3 linked regions of the Neodiprion lecontei genome follow. The protein of the gene in region 2 purifies or fractionates together with the protein of the main gene of each other region. This does not show direct contact. Links are inferred from orthologs where the notes say so. Each region holds a gene or a part of one and is shown on either strand. Other genes may lie near its edges. The genes, in order: MKI67 FHA domain-interacting nucleolar phosphoprotein-like, ATP-dependent RNA helicase DDX24 and KRR1 small subunit processome component homolog.

What was found.
Region 1: the proteins of ATP-dependent RNA helicase DDX24 (region 2) and MKI67 FHA domain-interacting nucleolar phosphoprotein-like purify together in Homo sapiens (affinity purification with mass spectrometry; 3 studies listed by BioGRID and IntAct, counting the BioPlex papers as one, with this or other methods). This does not show direct contact. The link is inferred for Neodiprion lecontei from reciprocal best matches to the Homo sapiens genes DDX24 and NIFK.
Region 3: the proteins of ATP-dependent RNA helicase DDX24 (region 2) and KRR1 small subunit processome component homolog purify together in Homo sapiens (affinity purification with mass spectrometry; 3 studies listed by BioGRID and IntAct, with this or other methods). This does not show direct contact. The link is inferred for Neodiprion lecontei from reciprocal best matches to the Homo sapiens genes DDX24 and KRR1.

What each region holds. Positions count from the first base shown.
Region 1 is NC_060260.1:4,669,437-4,675,765, forward strand, and holds MKI67 FHA domain-interacting nucleolar phosphoprotein-like, read right to left. Parts: upstream 3,778-6,329; 5' UTR 3,661-3,777; coding exon 3,574-3,660; intron 3,433-3,573; coding exon 3,241-3,432; intron 3,137-3,240; coding exon 3,028-3,136; intron 2,933-3,027; coding exon 2,034-2,932; 3' UTR 1,799-2,033; downstream 1-1,798. Other genes in the region: uncharacterized protein LOC107226332, read left to right, coding at 4,225-4,892, 5,021-5,330, 5,408-5,748, 5,873-6,089, 6,170-6,329.
Region 2 is NC_060262.1:18,438,414-18,445,063, forward strand, and holds the start of ATP-dependent RNA helicase DDX24, read right to left. Parts: upstream 4,211-6,650; 5' UTR 4,133-4,210; coding exon 3,935-4,132; intron 3,536-3,934; coding exon 2,887-3,535; intron 1,582-2,886; coding exon 1,322-1,581; intron 1,252-1,321; coding exon 1,106-1,251; intron 971-1,105; coding exon 681-970; intron 609-680; coding exon 386-608; intron 294-385; coding exon 182-293; intron 1-181. Other genes in the region: GPN-loop GTPase 1, read left to right, coding at 4,350-4,428. UniProt on the Homo sapiens protein: ATP-dependent RNA helicase that plays a role in various aspects of RNA metabolism including pre-mRNA splicing and is thereby involved in different biological processes such as cell cycle regulation or innate immunity.
Region 3 is NC_060262.1:40,402,766-40,408,398, reverse strand, and holds KRR1 small subunit processome component homolog, read left to right. Parts: upstream 1-3,052; 5' UTR 3,053-3,179; coding exon 3,180-4,211; 3' UTR 4,212-4,297; downstream 4,298-5,633. Other genes in the region: histone H2B, read left to right, coding at 1-317; trafficking protein particle complex subunit 12, read right to left, coding at 951-2,537. UniProt on the Homo sapiens protein: Part of the small subunit (SSU) processome, first precursor of the small eukaryotic ribosomal subunit.

The sequences.
Region 1 (6,329 bases), on a different chromosome or scaffold from region 2:
GCCCCTTATATATGTATATTTATATAGGTATGTATATATGTCCGTCTCCCACTCTCGCTCTCTCTTTCTTTCTCTCGTCGCGGCGCCGCAAGGAGAACGTCATCGTATATGACGCATCGGAGATGCAGTTATTTTCATCTCCGACGGCAAAAAGATTGCCGACGGGCAAAAATTCACGGTTTTGCGACGCCCTCCGCGTTATATGTGCATCGTCCTTTCATTCCGTACGACGAGACGTGTTAATTAGGCCATCGGAATATTGCAGGATTACTTCATTTTCGCGTTTTGGACAGGACGAAATTACGCAGTTAATACCGAATTTGAAAAGTTTAGAAAGGCGTTAATTCCGAATTATTTGGTGGCGATAACAGAAGTGAAGTAATCAAACTTTGAAGAAACAACAAAGTTTCGAATGGTCGGAAAATCGACTGATCAAAGTTCCGAATTATGCAAGATTCCGAAAATTCATGTTACGATAGAACAAAGTTCCGAAAAGTAAACTTGCGATAGTTACGCCCTTCCAGCATTTTATCCTTTCGGAACTTTGAGCGTCAGGTTTCAGAGCATTCGAAACCTCGATGTTTCGTACAAAGTTTGATTTCTTGACTACATATTTCGCAACAAAAGAATTCGGAATTACACGCTTTCGACACTTTTTAATTTCGGAATTTGAACCCTATCCCCTGATCGACGTAATTTAAGTGGGTATATAAACAATCAAATTCCCATTTATCTTCGTCTTTTTCTTTCGAGTGTATCGAACTTAACACCAGCTTCTACAAATTTACTTCGTGACAAATATCCAGAGCATAATCCCTATATTTTATTCGATGAAGATAAATAAACTCTTTCAATTATTTCAGAGGCAAGTAAAAGGCTGAGCGGAACCGCGACGGAAAAACCACGCAAGGAAAGAACAGCATTTACTAAACAACAAGTTCGTCACTTGGAGTACGAATTCGCGCACATGAATTATCTCACCCGACTTCGGAGATACGAAATTGCCGTGGCTTTAGATTTAACGGAGCGGCAGGTAATTCTTTGTTAACGTTTATTTTCATAATTATTCAACTAATTCATACGATTTATGTAAATCACTTCGAATGAATGATTGAATAAAGCCTCGAGCCATGTTTGAATAATTCACAAAAATTATTAAACAAGGTGCAGTTAATAACTGTTCACGCGACATTGAATGATAGGGTTATTCAACTCTCATCCATTTTTTTCAGGTCAAAGTTTGGTTTCAAAACAGACGTATGAAATGGAAACGAACGAAAGGGTGCCCCTTATCTCAGAACCGCGGAAAAAAATTATGATTAATTCTGACCAGCGGAGTGGATATATAATAAAATATACAATACATTACGTATTTATATAAAATTTGTTTTTAATTAGAAGAAATAACTAAATTGTAAATATTATTCGCTAGTTTACAGTAAAGCGAATAAATTTATCGACAATATCAAAGGTTTATCGATTTCCGGAGCATAAAATAAATTCTTGAAATATTTCTAAAAGATTTATTATCAGGGCCGTGATAAATATGTATTAAAATTTTCAAAATATAATTATATAATATACTTGACAAACTAAAATATGGAACATATAAACTGTATTTTTTAGCACCAAACTCCATACTTTATGTAAAAAACGAAATAAGGAATAAAATTGATTTAAATAAACAAAATATATATTTACATATTAATCCAGGCCCTATTTGTTATCTTTAACTAAGATTTATTCAACGTTCTGTGCAGAACGTTTGTATAAAATAATTCTTTCGCAAAATCACAGATTACGCATACTTCGTTTATTAAACGCTGTGATGAAATACATGAGCTGTATGTACAATCCATTCCAAGGATCGTAGGAAAAATTATTTACGATTTCTAAAATCGTATATGAGGTAAAAGTTCCATTGATCTAATCGATCATTTTCACGAAACATAAAGTAAACCAAAACTCGATCCGTCACAATTGCTGAAAAACTCAATTACAATTAAATCCAGCTTAGTTCGATGCATCATCATTTATGCCGCTGCACCTTTCTTTTTCCCTTTCTTGCTCAGCGATACTTGAGCTGCTATTTGTTTTTTGGATTTTTTAACCGTTGGTACTAGGAAAGAAATTTTCTTTTGTCCCGACTTTTCAATGAGCGGCACTGCAGCAGGGATATTCTTTTGTACTTTCTGTTTTGTCTTTTTAACAGTTGGTGGATGATCAATCACTTCCACTTGCTGTTTCAGCTTCTTAGCAGTAGGCGGATGATCAATCGACTCAATTTTTCCCTTCAATTTTTTACCTACAAGTAATTCAGTTAACACTGCTTCTTTCTTCTTCTTAATAGGAACGGAATCAGCTGCCATTTTCTTCTTAGATTTTTTTGGCAAGCTTATTTCGGGTACTTGAACTGTGCATGTAGAAATTTTCTTCTTCGGTTTTGGAACTGCTAAAATACTAGCCTTGATAGCTACGGCAACCTCGTCAGCCGGTTTCAATTCTGACTTGTTCTTTTTCTTCGTCTTGTTAATCGCAGGTTCCTTGACAACTGCTTTTTTCTCCACTTTTTGTAAAGAACCATCTTCAGCGTCAATTTCACTCGCTACCGTACCATTGGAAGTTTTTATCTTTTTCGTTCCTGTTGAAGCTGGTCGAGAGGCAGAGCTTTTTCTCTTTTTAACTTGCGTGTCTTCGGGTACTTCAACGGGTTTAATCTTATAGAAAATTCCTGCCTGCTCAAGTTTTTTCTCCATAACAGAAATTTTTTTCATTTTCCGCTGAGCCAGCATACTGTCAACACTATTATCCACATTTTGGTTTTTTCGCATATTCTGTTCCTTTCTTTTCACTGATCGAGGAAATTGTTGCTTACTCCATGGACGCCCTGCGAAATAACGCCCATGCTGTTTCTCAGGCGGAATGTACGTCGCTGAAAACATTTTACGGAATAACAACAGTTAAGAAAACGTCGATACTTTACTGCTTATAAAATGAACTTGAATTTTCCTATCAAAACTAATCTACCTTTTAGCAGTCTTCCAGACATCAGGTAGTTGTTCATAGACTGTGCAGCAATTTTTGCCACTTCGCTGTGCATGAATTCTATGTACCCATAACCACAGCTTCTACCGGTCTACAAGATGGAAATGAATGAAAATACGTGTTTGCAACTTCAATGTTGTTTGGTTATATACTGAAAGAATAAGATCGTTGAAAACGAGGCTCCCAGATATCTACCTTTACAGATCTAACCACTCTAGCTCTGGTAACCTTCCCAAATTGCTTGAAATAGCTAATCATTTGTTCTTCGAAGAACCCATGAGGAATGTGCCCAAGATAAACAATCCCTCTATTAAGCGAAACTGATTCAGTTGACGATGGAACATCGCTGTTCTCGATAGGAATTATAGCTTCGGGTTTTTTAGGTTTCTGAAATGACAAATCGTCGAGTGTCAGTTTCAACTATCGGCTGACCGAAATAGCAGACTTGATTGGACTGGATAAGTTGCCGAATGCGCAACAGATTTATAGGTTATGTTAAACACGTGTTTGGATACATTCGAAACATACCGTTAAAAGTTTTTGCTTCACATTTTTAACGGCTTTGCTGAGTGTCGATTGATCCGATTGATCTGCAGCTTGTTTTGCTATCTTCATATTGTTTTTTCAAAAAAAAATTACTCCACTTTGAATTCTATTTATTCGATTATCGTGTGGAAAAAATTGAAGAAAATTAGCTGATGCGTAACGGTGGCGGGATTTGCGGAATTAAACTTTAGAGTCACTACGGTAGCGACAAAAGGTTCACTGAATATCCACCAGAGGTCGCCGCGACGCGTGATTGCCGCTTTTTTCAATGTATTCCGGAACACACTGTAGTAAAAAAATTGCGAGATCCGTCGGCTCCTGTCACACAACTGTCAACTACTGTCAACGTGAGCACAAGAGATAAGATCAGTAATCATCGATGAGGTTCGTTAATCATGTGTCATTATACGCGTGAAAATATAGACGTTATGGCAGGAATGACAGAGAAGAATATTCATCGTTGTTGCAACGACCTGAACGAAAGTTGGACGACATTTTTTTATATTTAGAGAAAAAGATTGTGAAATATATCAAAGACTTCAAAGTAACACGAGGTGCAACACGCAACACCAAAAATGATACTTATCTGTAGAAACAATTGAAGCAGAAAGTGGTTAACTAACGAAAATAAATATGGAGAAAGTATTCTCGATAAGCTGGTCAAATCGTATTTTATTGATCAGTCTTTTCTCTGTTACAATTTGCATGACGATTCAAACACACGTCGCTCATCTTACTGTGCCGCTTCATTTTTTAATATCTTGGGCAATTTTTGTGATCACTATATCGATATGGCTAAGCTGTTTCGTATTGAGATTAATGCTCAAAGTCAACGCACCTTTGACCACTGAACCTTTCAACAAATGGGCTCAGGGATGGATGAAAAACGACCAAACAGGTAGTAGTCATCAGCCACAAAAACCGGTAGTTAAAAGTGTCGATAACGATGAAGAAACGAAGGACGAAAATCAGATAGACAGACAAAACACAGAGATAAATAATCTTCTCAGAGACCTGAGGGCTGATGGAAATTTAGATGATGGATCTGTTTTAGAACAGGACCTGCCTGTAACTTTTGTGGAAAAAATAAATGTGGAAAAAGTTATAAACGATATTGATGCGAACTTTGTTAAAATTTGGTACAGAAATGTGAGCAATGACGATGCTTTTCCTAACGAGTCCAAACAGTTGCTCGAAAATCTGATTCTTAAATTCAATCATCAATTGATACGAATTGATCGAATTGAATTGGCTAGAAAAATTGGCAATATATTCTTGTTGCATTTGAAGGAATATCGTAGGTAATGATCCACATGTTAAACATTGTATAATTATGCACTGCAATTACTGATTCACCTAGCTTCGTTTTCATTGCAGTCTCACTTAGGAAACTAACGATTTACTGCAATGTTGTTATTCCTTTCATCAGAGCGCTGCGTCGTGTTGAGAAGGGAACTGCACTAGACATCGAAGAAGCCTATCGCTATGTTCATCCGGGTTCGCGAAGCCTAGCGGCGTTAGAGCACAGTCTTCATCGAGTGGTCACTGTATTGGCAAGAGAATTTTTACAATGGGAATTGACTAGTTCGTTACCTTGTAAACTCTTATTTTCAATACTGGCTAAAAAATTGCTCACAGGAATAGAAAGCATAAGTTCGCCAGAGTGGATTTTAGAAGAAATTGTAAGAGCGATTAGCTCAGAACCAGTAAAAAATGAGAAATGTGCTTCGGCTAGCGAGGTGGTAATACCTTCTTTCTATTTATTTGGGGATCTCCTTTAATCCAAATCATACTCATCAAAGTCGAATCTTTTCAGAGTGTTGTGTCTACGGCACTCAGTGATGCCATACGTTCCACAACAGCTGCAGCGATATCGCGTCCCTTACCTAAAGCTGGTCAAGGTGCTGATATTTCACCAGATTTCAAAGATAACAATCAGAATGCACAAAGCACAATGGAAAGGAAAGCTGCTCTGAGTTTGGAGGGCTTAGAAATAAGTCACAGAGGATTGTGGGCTAATGTTGAAATATCTGAACCTGATTCTGAACCAGAGGAAGACAGATTGTCTCCGGTTTATGAAGAACCAACTGATTTTGCAACGACTATCGCCAGACTGCGAAGTCTTTTGCACCAAAAATCCAACGCCTCAACACCATTGTAAATGTGTATTTTTTTCAACCAGTTTAATTCAGACCTGGCCGCTTCTCCAGGTTCATGCAAAATCTTAATTTGGAAGCTAATAAAAAAATAATCCCGAAGCTTCTACTAAATTTAATTGCAGACAATTGGAGGAAAAGTCTTGCACAGTTTACGAAGGCAGCCACTTAACTATTCCTTGGACAGAGTTTCATACGGCACCCGATGGCTCTCAGCAGCTCCTGTACTGCATACAGTTTGACGACATAGAACAGCATGGATCACACTTATTTGAAACTACTACAGCCACCGTTAAGAGGCAGTACTCAGATTTTGTACAACTTCACGCTAGTCTAGCAGAAGTAATTATCAACTGACATACAACCATGCTTAATAATCGCTGAAACACAGACGTAAAAAGCATTCAAATATCTAACTTCAGGTTCCATCATTGGCGGTTGCAATATCAAACATAACTTTACCAGAAGGCGGACGTGTGGAGATGGAAAATTATTTAAAACTAGTTTGCTCTCGTTTAGCTGCCGATTATCCACCACAATTACGTCACTTTTTGAGGCCAAGCAGCAGCAGTAATAAAAAAG
Region 2 (6,650 bases):
AGTTAGAATATGATTTAATAAACAACTATAAAATGAAATTAGGTACGTATTACAATCGTTCGTTTGGCTATGGTGTTTAATGGAAAAAATATGGATTACTGATATGAAGATGATCGCTTGTTAAAGGCAATACACAAAATTATGGATAATACAAAATTATGGATAATGCAAAATACGATACCTCAGATGTTCTTGGCACTTGATAGTGAATCACATGTTCTACATTAGGTATGTCTAAACCTCTGGCAGCGACATCAGTAGCTATTAAGACACCATTTTCATTTGCCTGGAATCTAAAGATACGCTGATGTTTATCAAGCTTCAATAGACAGGTAAAAAGCTGTTAAATGCAGTACTCCATTCCGTGTGCACAATTTGAGTATACCTTTCAAGGTTCTTCAACCTTTGCCGTTGTTGCATACTAGCATGCAGCGGTAAAGGATTGCATTCTAAAATCTCCAATAAAGTCGCAAGCCTTCTGACGCAACCAATACTGTTACAAAATACCAAAGTTCTACCAGCATGTCTTTTCAGTAAATAATAAAGGTAGTAGTCTTTATGATCAATTGTACATGCTATACGACATTCAGTCAAACTTGCAGCAGTTCCTATAAAATATGACAAGTTCCATCACAATGTCAAGGGAAATATGCAATTAAATTAATCGACCAAAAGTTTACCAGATTGTTTAGTAACATCAACAACTTTAGGATTTGAAATGCCTATCATTTCAATAACTTTTTTCAACTTCTGTTCGGGTGTGAATTTCTGTATTTTATGTCGGTGTTTATTTTTCTTCTTTGACAAATGCTGCGGAATATCATGAACCATGGTCAGTGTCGCGGAGAAAACGAACGTTTGTCGCGTTTTCATTTTTTCACCGTTCATGTTTATTTTTTCGAGAAGACTGTGTAACTCTTGAAAGTGTCCTCTTTCCACCATTCTATCTGTCTCATCAATAGCCAGAAATCTGAAGCAAAAGAAAAAAACGGTCGTGTTATTGATTCTCATCGGAGAAAAAAGTTAAATACTTCATCACTCTAAGTATAGAAGCTAGAAATTGTTTTGTTCAATAGAGCTTGCAACAAAGGGGAAACTTCATTACTTGACATCATCAACTTGATTAAGGTGCGCGTTGCCTTCTTGAATAAGTTCCCACAATCGACCTGGTGTAGCAACAACTATTTCCGGTGATTTGCTAAGAATTCTCTCCTGCTTAACAGCAGCCATCCCTCCCACGACGACAGCAATCTTGAAGTGAAATCTTTGTAAGGTATGAAAGGAAAAATTTACCTGTTACAATTTCTTTGCCAAAACTTACTCTGATCCCAGTGTATTTTGCAGCCTTGACAAGATGGTTTTTAACTTGAATAGCCAACTCTCTGGTTGGTGTTAGAATTAAGGCGTACAGGGGCTTTTTTGGAGAGCCGCGCGAGTCATTAATCATAATATTATCAATTGCTCTGACACAACCGATACCTTCCGCATTTAACAGTTCATCACTAACAATTTCTTCTCTTTCTTCAAAATCTGATTCTTCCTCATTATCCTCTTCACTTTCTTTTATGACATAGTCGTGTTCTAACAAAAAAGTTATATTGTAAATACATGGTGTGAAATATATGCTCACCAAAGCCAAGTACTATTTGTCAAACTGCTTATTGTTTCTTTGCATGGTAGTAGAAAAAAGGTATTTACTCATTTAACAAAATAATTGTAGTATTATTCTTTCAACTATTTAAGGTACAATTGTGCACTTCAAACTTTACAAATTAATGTCTCGAGAATTCTTTAAGGTAATAAACAGAATCTTTCGTTTAAAAATTAATGCTCCAAAGAAAACTCTTTGGACTCCTAGCTTGCAATGATTTCGACATCATCGTATTTTTGTTGAGAAAGAACTTCACTTTTATTCCTTAAGGGTATTTATAGGAGTAGAAGGCTGAAAAAGAGAATAGCAACCAATTATTAAATTCGATTAGGGTTTGATTTATTCAGAAGTATGAAGATCAAGCTTTATTTACGTATTTTTGTTTAACAGAATGAATCGGAAGTATTTTTATGTCTTCCAGTGCCCGCAGTACCTCAAAAACAGCTGAACCGATTTATGTAAATTCAGTGACAGTATTTCTGGATAGTTTATTCTCTGCGATGATCCCACTTATTTTTTTAACAATCACATTTTTGTGTTAGTTAAATAAAAAAGTTGTAAGAATTGGATGAAAAATCGTATTTCAATTCACCAAGCAAAATGGTTGACATAAGACTATCATTGCTACAATTGATTTTAAAGAAAAATATGCAAATGAAGTTCGATCTACATACTTTTGAATTAAACAAACCTCAATCAAATTGAACAATTGGTTGTCAAAACAAAAGTACCCAAGCATCATAGACTGTTTAAACCATCTAGTCATATACACATTAAAGTATTGTAATTCATATTAAATTATTTTCAGCCAATTACCATTAGCAGTCATTTACAAAATTAGTGATACCACATAATTTCTAGCATACTGCTTGAGCATATTCTATTTAATCAAAAAGAGAGTTGAAATAATCATCGCAAATAACAGTTTTCTAGTTGGAATATATAGTCCCTAATTTCTATTTAAAAATGTCTCTCGTGTTATTCAAGTGAAATTGATTCTGGGTAGCCAATAAACCAATGGCATTATTGCTACATGTGCAACAATTTCGAAAAATTGAAGTATGATATTCGACGAAGTTTCTCGATCCAAGCAAGTTCCTCGTCATTTCAAAATAAGCCATTGATCTTAGATTCACTGATTTTGTCAATGCATACAAACGATTTCAAGTCAAACACTTTGTAACAATGAAAATGCATAACTCTATTGACATAGACAATCAGAGATAATTACAAACCAGAATCTGAATATTCTTCATTTGACAATTCATCCATAGAGAGTATATCTTCGTCATCTTCATTTTCTGATTCACCTAATTTGTTCCAGTCCTGATCACCTGTTTCAGTTGAATTATTGCTTTCATTCACTTTATCTGCCTCTTTCCTCTGAGCCTCCAGAATACCATTTAAAATTGGTAAACCAAAAGCCAAAGTTTTTCCACTTCCTGTTTCAGCGGCACCTAAAATATCTCTCCTTCCCAAAATTGCTGGAGCCAAGGTCAGAGCCTGAATTGGTGTCGGAGCTTGAAAACCTTGGTCAGCCAATGCTTTTACCAATATTTCAGGTACACCCAGCGAAGTCCATGAATGTACGTTTATATCTGATTTTAGATTGTCCAGATTGATCAGACATCCATCCTCTGCGTCAACCTCATGCCCGTTTTTATCCAAATTAGATTCGCTATCGGATCCAATACCAGACTCTTCTTCAATTAGATCAGATTGCTTTATACCACGTTTATCGTCGAATTTTTGCTTCTTCTTCTTCGGCTTCACTTTCTCTCCTTTCACAGCTGCTCTAAGTTTTTTCTTTTGAGCTGAATGCTCGTCTTCCTCGTCATTGTCAATCTGGTCATCGAGTTTCTGAGCCTTTTTCTTCTTGTTACCCTTGTTTGTTAAATATGATTCAATTTTCTTGTTATTAATATTAAAGAAAATTGGCAGAGCTATTGGTTATTCTCTGTAATGTTACTGACTACACGTCATAAATCAATCAACTAAAACTATGCTGTAAGCAGATTTTCCTTTCATGCACTGCGAAAGTTCGTTAATATTGTCCAGATACTGTAAGTTTTACAAATTTCTCAATCCCTTCAATATCCTTAATATGTATCATCTGTTATCGGTAGTGATTTAACTCTCGAAAGAAGAAGTGCTGCTCTATCGTACCAGAGTTATCTTGATATTTATTTCGTGTGCTTGTACATAATATTGAGACCATTGTTCGGTGAAAGGTATAGTATTAGAGATATTTAAAATTATTTCAATATGCAGGAAACCATTTACCTTGTCTAATTTGTCATCGGAGCGAGTTGCTTTTCGTTTTTTGGTTCCTTTTTCGAGACTGTAATCCGTCAATTCTTCAATTCCGATCAGGCCGTCAATACCTTCAGCAAAAAAGGCACCCTCCAATTTTAACGGTTTCCACGTCTTAGATTTATCCTTTTTGATTTTCCCCATTGCTTGTTTGTTTCGACTAAACATAACCTCGATTTGCGAGGAAAGAAACGCGCATATCACGACGAACACGTGCGAGCATTGAATTCGAAGCGAGTCAGATGACAGGGAAGTATAACTATATTATATAACCTAACTACCTAACTATAAAATTGAACCAAGCGGTGAAAATATGCACTAGAGTTAGTAAGTTATGCTGTACATAACGCAGTATCGGGTGATTTTGTTTTTGTAATTTTAATTAATGTATAAAATGAAATTTTGTCTACAAGAAATTTGTGAATTTGCTTGCACAAAGCCAAGCAATAAAAACTTCATTGGAGGTGAGGGTTTTAAATGCTGGACACGTGATAAAATGTGGACAAGTACCAATCAGTGGTTGCAATGTTATAAGTGTTTTAGCTTTTTGTTTACAAACATTAATTATTCATTATATTAAAAATAATCCCTATGAAATAACTGGTCAAATAATAAACGACGGTCGAATAATTGGAATGAGTTCTTCTTATAAGGCAGGTCATTCGTAAACACGTCGCAGTATTACTCCATTGCAACCGGTAAGATATTTTGTCACATTCATAACCTATAACAGTTATTTTATTTTTCCAACAATTAATTTATTAAAATCGATTTTTATTTTTACAGCAATGATTTGAAGAGCTTGCCAATGATTACTTGCACTCATAAAAAATGTGTATGGATTGGCTTCATGAATCTTCATTAGAAAAATAGAAGGCAAGCCATTACATGAACATGAGTGTCTTTTATCGGCGAAAAAAAAAATTTCCATGCTTAAAATATAAGGGAACAAAAGAAATTTAAGCTGGAGATGTTAACAACACTGAATCGATGGATTTTAATGAAAATTTACAGCTGTCTGAAAAGCAAGAAGTACAATTTTTTGCTCTAGCTTTACACGTGTAAATTTTACGCTGACATTTTATTTTTACATTTTTATCATCAATTTTTGACCTGATTTTTTTACACATATATCACTATTACAAATTCCTATTATTTGCATTACATATTTTTTCAAAGCCTGATTGCATGTTTTACAAATAATCATGTTTTATGAAAGAGTATTAAACTGCTACATAAATTGATTTTTAAAAACATTACGCTTTTTTGTCAAATCTAATTATGAAATTATTATTAATAAATTATTTCACAATTTCAATGATGTTGTGTTTTTATTTTATAATATTCTTTTCTCTCTTTCTGTTTTATTTACAGAATTACAAGACATGAGTATATCCAAGTTTCAAGCAATAACAATAGTGCTATCATTTGTTCAGGAAGAATTCTAGCTGTTTTTAGTAATCAAAAGTCCTCAGTCTTTCTCGATAAACTAGAAAAAATTGATGTTAATCCTCTTCAGAACTGCTGTAAGAAAATAGTCGAACAATATTAAATGGAGTTGCTCAACTACTGAATTTTATTCTGTTGGGAGAAAGAAAGACAATTTAGAATTACAGGAAGTGATCCAAGCTATAGATTATTTACTTATAGTAAAAATAAGAACTCGATTGGTAGTACAAATCATTAAAGTATTTTTATCCAACTGTGATAAGTAATACTTATACTAGACATGGTTTAAAATGAACCCACAGCATGTGAGCTTTATGAAAATTCCACACAGTTCAAAGTTGTTGAATGCAGTCTTATTATTGCACACAATAATCCTTAGCTCGGTTGCTCACCTGATGCTATTGTATTCGATGATTTTAAATCTATAAAAATAATTGAAATAAAATGTCCTCTCCTTTTTTTTTTATCAAGACTCAATTCTTCAGTACCTTCAGCTGTCAGTACCTTGTTTATAAGTGATCTCCTACGTATTCTTTCTTCTCTAGAATTTACATGACGAGTATATTTTGTAGTTGATCCTGGAGGAATATTTTGAGAAGGAACACTTATTTTCTTAAGTTAAGAATGAGTCGAACCAACAGCTATTACATGATGGTAAAAATTGTCTTTGTTAAAATGGAGTGAAAAGATCTTATACTGGTCATTACACTTTTTCCAATTCTCAACACTGGTCCAAGCTACGCGACTATCGCTTTTGTATTTATCACCAAAGTTGTTGATTCTATCGACGAAATCTTTATTGGGATGTGGAAGATGGAAAAACTTGATTTTTTCATCACCATAAGCTTTACATTGACAATCAAACACACAGCAATACACGTTACTTTTATTTTTTCGCGCAGGGAATTCCATAATCAAAACAATGACTTGGATCGACTATTCACTTTTTAAATCTTAATTATTAATCGAAAAACTAAAAAATAATATTAACATTTCCACATAAACAAATACATAGTCAGCTGTTAGCAATTCGAGCTACGCGCTCACGGTCAGATGTTGAATTTGGTCACTAGATAGCGTATCCGAAGACCACCTAGAATAAGATACCTATATCTAGAGTTGAACAACAGTTTCCCAATTGACACGCTTGTCGAATTCGAAGAAAATAACAGGTAGAGACTTAATAGATAATTTCCTAAAAATACATAAAAGCACTGATATATTATACATTTCAGTG
Region 3 (5,633 bases), about 22 Mb from region 2:
ATATTACGAAGGGAGATAAGAAGAAGAAGCGCAGGAGGAAGGAGAGTTACGCAATCTACATCTACAAAGTCTTGAAGCAGGTTCACCCAGACACTGGAATTTCCAGCAAGGCAATGAGCATCATGAACAGCTTTGTCAACGACATTTTTGAACGCATCGCTGCTGAATCTTCACGTCTTGCTCATTACAACAAACGATCTACCATCACGTCTCGGGAGATCCAAACTGCGGTGAGGCTTCTTCTGCCTGGTGAACTTGCCAAGCATGCTGTTTCTGAAGGAACCAAGGCTGTTACCAAATACACCAGCTCTAAGTGAGCGGCTTCTTCAACAACCATCGGCCCTTTTCAGGGCCACAAAACATTTCACCATGAAAGAACGATTCTATTCTAATCGAAGCATTATACAATAAGTGAAATATACATATAAATACGGTTCCCTTTTGTCGTACAGATTGCAGCAAAACAATGCATGTATCTTACTCATTAAACTTGAAAAAATAAACCAACATTATGACAAAGGAGCCAAAAACTTGAAGGTATCAACCGTTGTGGATATCGTAGTCCTTTAGTAGTGTGGTTTGAAGTCACACAAAACATAAACGGAATATTGGTATCCAAAATCTAAAAAAAAAAATTTTTTAATGGTGAGGATATTGTGGGTGTGGATGATAATTTGATGCTTTTCGAAGTAATAATACTCCTTGTCCATTAATTTATGAATAATGCTAGGTAGATTTATGAACTCAAATTTAATGTTTGAATATCACTTCCAATCGAATAACATTGACACAGTGATAACACCATTGCACTGATTCTCCATAACAATTTCTACAATAAACTTCAAGTAATCATTAACTAAAATATTAACAATAAATAGAAAAACTGAATAAGGTTGTTCAATTACAGGGTCTTACTCTAACGTAATCAAGAATTATTAAATTAGCAACTTCTAAAGCGATAGTTTTAAACATTGCACCGCAATGGCATCTCCTTTGTATCGATTTAATTGTCTCAATAAATGTAGTTTGGGCTGTGTACTATGAGTCGTGTGTAATTCATACAAGGTACAAATATTCAGCAACAACGCTTCCTGTAGTCCTTTAGTTGGGTTTCTGACTAGTGCACTTTCTAATAAATGTACAGCAGCTTGAAGTTGCCCATTGTAAAGTAAGCATACAGCCATATTATTTACTAGCATAATATTAGACGGTTCTAGGACTGAGGCTTTTTTAAAACAATTGTAGGCTTCTTGAAATGCGTTTTGAGCTACAGCCATCAGGCCTCTGTCTGTTAATTCCTTGGAGTTTGAGGGATTTTGAAAGCTTTCTCTGCCATCAGCGAACTGCTTCTCTGCTGCTGATACATCGCCGAGTAAAAGTAGAACCCTACTAATTGCTGATTTTAGTATTTGCCTCTGCTCTGGATTCCAATCTGTGCCTTCACTCAAGCTCTCCAAAATATCAACGGCTAAAATGTAGTTCTTTAGAGTCAAAGCACAGTTGACAACGGAAATTAGTACTCTAGACTCTCTGCCGACCCATAATCTGATTGCGTCATCTCTTTCCGTCGGTGTGAATTTGAGGCGTCCTCCATCCTCCCCGAATCCCTTTTTCAAGTTTTTTATAATTTGTTTTACAGTAGATAAAACCTTATGCAGGTTGTCCAGAGCGACTCTCGGTTTGTTGCAATAGGCAGGTATCTCAGCTAGAAGCAGCCTGAAGGCAAAACAGGCCATGGATCCAGGTCTGGTTCCATAAAGTTCTGGATAAAATGTGAAAAACATATCAGGCTTATCTAAATTCCCAAAGGGCTTAGACTCGTTTTCAAGAACTTCGACGTGCTTCAATTTTGCCAAAAGTGCGAGTCTTGTAAACCACAATTGGAGAGAGTGTGGAGTGTGTTTGCTGGGATGATTAATCTTCCCATATCCCTGTCCATAAATTGCTAGCAGTCTGCCAGTAAGATTAATCGCCGCTCGGTAACATCCTGTCTGAATCAAATTCCTCAGACCACGTTCGTCCTGCGTTACATCAGAAGCTGTGAGAACGTTGCGATGAATGTTTTCTTCTTCTCCCAGAAAGTGAATCGCAGCCTCCTTAGTCGTATCGGTCAAATCTCCCTGCAACGTCAGTCCGGGCATCGTCAGATTTTCTCTATCAGGAAAATTACTTCCAGGCGTCGACGTTGCTATCGAGGCTAATACTTTTTTGGTTTGATCCGAGGGGATCCAAGCATCTCTATGAATGTCGCTGGCCGTGACATGGTCGGAGACTTGTTCCGCAGCATCTGACAAACTGTTTTCAAGGAAGCTGTTTGACGGGTCTGTCAAGAAGGAGTCAAATACTGGGCGAGGACTCGCAGATGCCGAAGGTTGTTCCAGCATGTCTTGTTTTTCCGGTGGGACAATTTCATCGAATATCGTGTGAGTCGTATTGCTGAAGTAACGCCCGAGCCCAGTATCACCAGATGGTTTTGAGTCGTCAGACAATCCTGCGATATTGTCGCTCAGTTGAAATAGCGAACTTTTATCGGCCATTGCTTGCCACGCTCAAACACAACGTCAATTCTTCAATAATTACTGACTTACAATATCGTGATCACATATTATTTTACTTTTGGTTAGTAGGCTTAAGCTTGAGCACTAGGTTAGTAGTTGAAAGTTAACCTTCACACGACTAGAATGATCACAATCAGCTGTCACTTGTGACTTTACGAGCATGGCTAAATTACTTCAAGTAGTTTTCTAGAGGGTAGACTCTGCGACTAATTTTCAAATTGGATGCCGCAGGTTCGCGACATCGATTTTTCCTCATCATGTTGAAAGTGAATATATAAATATAGATAACTAAAAATAAAAATATCACAAGTGTCGATACAACGGCCGTTAGGTCAAATCTGAAATTGTAAACGCTCATTAGCATAAATAAAACTTGACTTACCGATATGTCGATATTGTGTCGGATGCAAGATGGCGGACTTGCAGCAGAGCGCTGCTATTCGATATTCTGAAGTTCACGAACCTTCGGTCAAATCGTTGACTGCTCACTCACCGTCACTCACTCTACTCACTGCTGCCACAGAAATTTCATCAACATAACCTGAAAGCGCGTAGCCTAAACCCACGTGCGAACTGGTTCCGAAGACATTGCGATATAAATAAATAAATAAATTTAAGAAAATGAGTGATTCTGAAAAGGAGGATGACCGGCCAGTAAATACAGACCCTGTAGACAATGCGTGGGACCTCAAGGTTCCTGCATTCAAGCCGGAACACAACCCACACCGTTTACTAGAGGAAAGTTCGTTCGCAACGTTGTTTCCAAAGTACAGAGAAAAATATTTGAAACAGTGTTGGCCGCTGGTGCAGAAGTCGTTACAGGAACAGGGTATCAAGGCTGAATTAGATCTGATTGAAGGTAGCATGACGGTGAAGACGACACGAACAACTTGGGATCCCTACATAATTATCAAGGCCCGGGACATGATTAAACTGATGTCTAGGTCTGTGCCATACGAACAGGCAGTCAAAGTTCTACAGGACGACATCGGTGCTGATATTATTAAAATATCGTCCTTGGTCAGGAACAAGGAGAAGTTTGTCAAACGAAGACAGCGGCTAATCGGACCCAACGGCTGCACACTGAAGTCAATCGAGCTGTTAACTAAGTGCTATGTTTTGGTTCAAGGGCAAACCGTAGCTGCTCTTGGGCCCTACAAGGGACTGCAGCAGGTGCGACGAATCTGCGAAGATACAATGAAGAACGTGCATCCGATTTACAATATCAAGGCGTTGATGATAAAGCGAGAACTGGCCAAGGATCCTAAGCTGAAAAACGAAAATTGGGAGAGATTTTTACCAAAGTTTAACAGCAAAAATGTTAGCAAAAGAAAACAGCCAAAGAATAAAAAGGCTAAGAAGGAATACACACCGTTTCCTCCGCCGCAGCAAGAAAGTAAAATCGATAAACAGTTGGCATCTGGAGAATTCTTCCTTAAAGAGGAACAGAAACAGGCTAAGAAACGTAAGGAACAGGAGACCAGGCATGAGGAGGCTGCCAAAAAGAGAGTCGAAAGAAGAGCTCAGGCCTTTGTTGCTCCTGAGGAAAATGTTGCAACGAAAAATGTTAGCAAGAAAGGAGATATCAACATCGAGGAGTTTAAGAGAAAAGTTAAAAAAGGTTTTAAAAAACGTAGCGCTGCTCCTTCCTAAACTGTGTATATACTTTTATCATACTAAACTTACAACTTGTGGTACGTTTATTTTTTATAAGATTAAGCCGGGTTGTATTAAAAAAATTTTGTAAATAAATTAACGTAAAGTTTTTGGAAAAAAATCCTTGTTTTTATTAAAAAAAATTTCTCCTATAATCGTTTAGCATACTTTTTTTTGTTCACTTTGTTTCATCTTAATTTACATTCATTTCATTATTATACAATACAAAGTGTGGAATACATGAAACACTAGCGTATGATTTTTTAGCCGGTAGAACTTTATAATTGAATGATAATCCCGACAATTTGATGAGTACGTAGGTTTAAAAAGTTTTTTTTTTTTTTGTTATACAAAGTTCATTTGAAGTACGCCAAATTTTTTTCATTATTGTCAATCTCTAAGTATCGCCGCTCGTTTTTTTTTGTTTCTTTTTTTATTACTACTTCGACCATTTCTCTGTCATTGTGTCATTTTACTCGTACAGGTGTTATTCTTCATTTATAATCCATCCATATTCGTTATTCACAGAAATCAAGTGGTGGGTCTATTTAAATGGACTGGTTACATACACATTATCATTGACTGTTAACTTCCTATGTAACTGAATAATCAATTAATTTATGTCACATTTTATCTTACAGCCTAAAATTGCGGAAGTACGACGTTTTTATATCATTTATATTTAGATAATTAATAATAATATAACTATTATTTACAGTACGTATTTATGATATTCATTATACGTATAACTTAGTAAGTTTATTGTGTAGTCTGCAGTATATTCGCAGACGAAAACGACCAGATTTAACGAAAGCCTTCATTTTAATTACCGGGGACATCAGAAACGGATTGAAGATCGATACCGTCTTACCTACTATAACGCAAGTATAATAGGCATTTTTCGGCGAATACAGTGGTATAAACCAGTGGTATAAATCGTCGTTGCTTCTGGTATGGGCGGAGCTTAACTCTGGTCAAGTATAACGGCACACTAAAACGCTCTGGTTCGTTTTGTTCGTAGTTAAAGGCGCGAAATATTGGGAAGAAGACTCAAGTGTAGAAAACGCGTTTGGTACCTTTTGGTACACTTTGGTTGCTATACCAGTGCTCGCCAAAAAGTGCCTAATATTGTATTATGTTATAATATGTTATATATAATAAATTTCTTATATCCTACGTGCTTGAACCAATCTTATCGTAAAATTTTTTGACATGATTGGTATCCCGACTGTATTTTCCATCAGTTTAATGACAATCTAATGCAGAAGTGATAGGTTCATGATGCAAAAGCTTACGTACACTTATACCAGCACTGCTGTTAATACGTAACAGCAAGGAACAAGCTAGGAGTTATTACAAAAGAATACTTAGTTTGTATCGTCTCATATTGCTGTTGCTGATTCTCTTATCGACTAAATA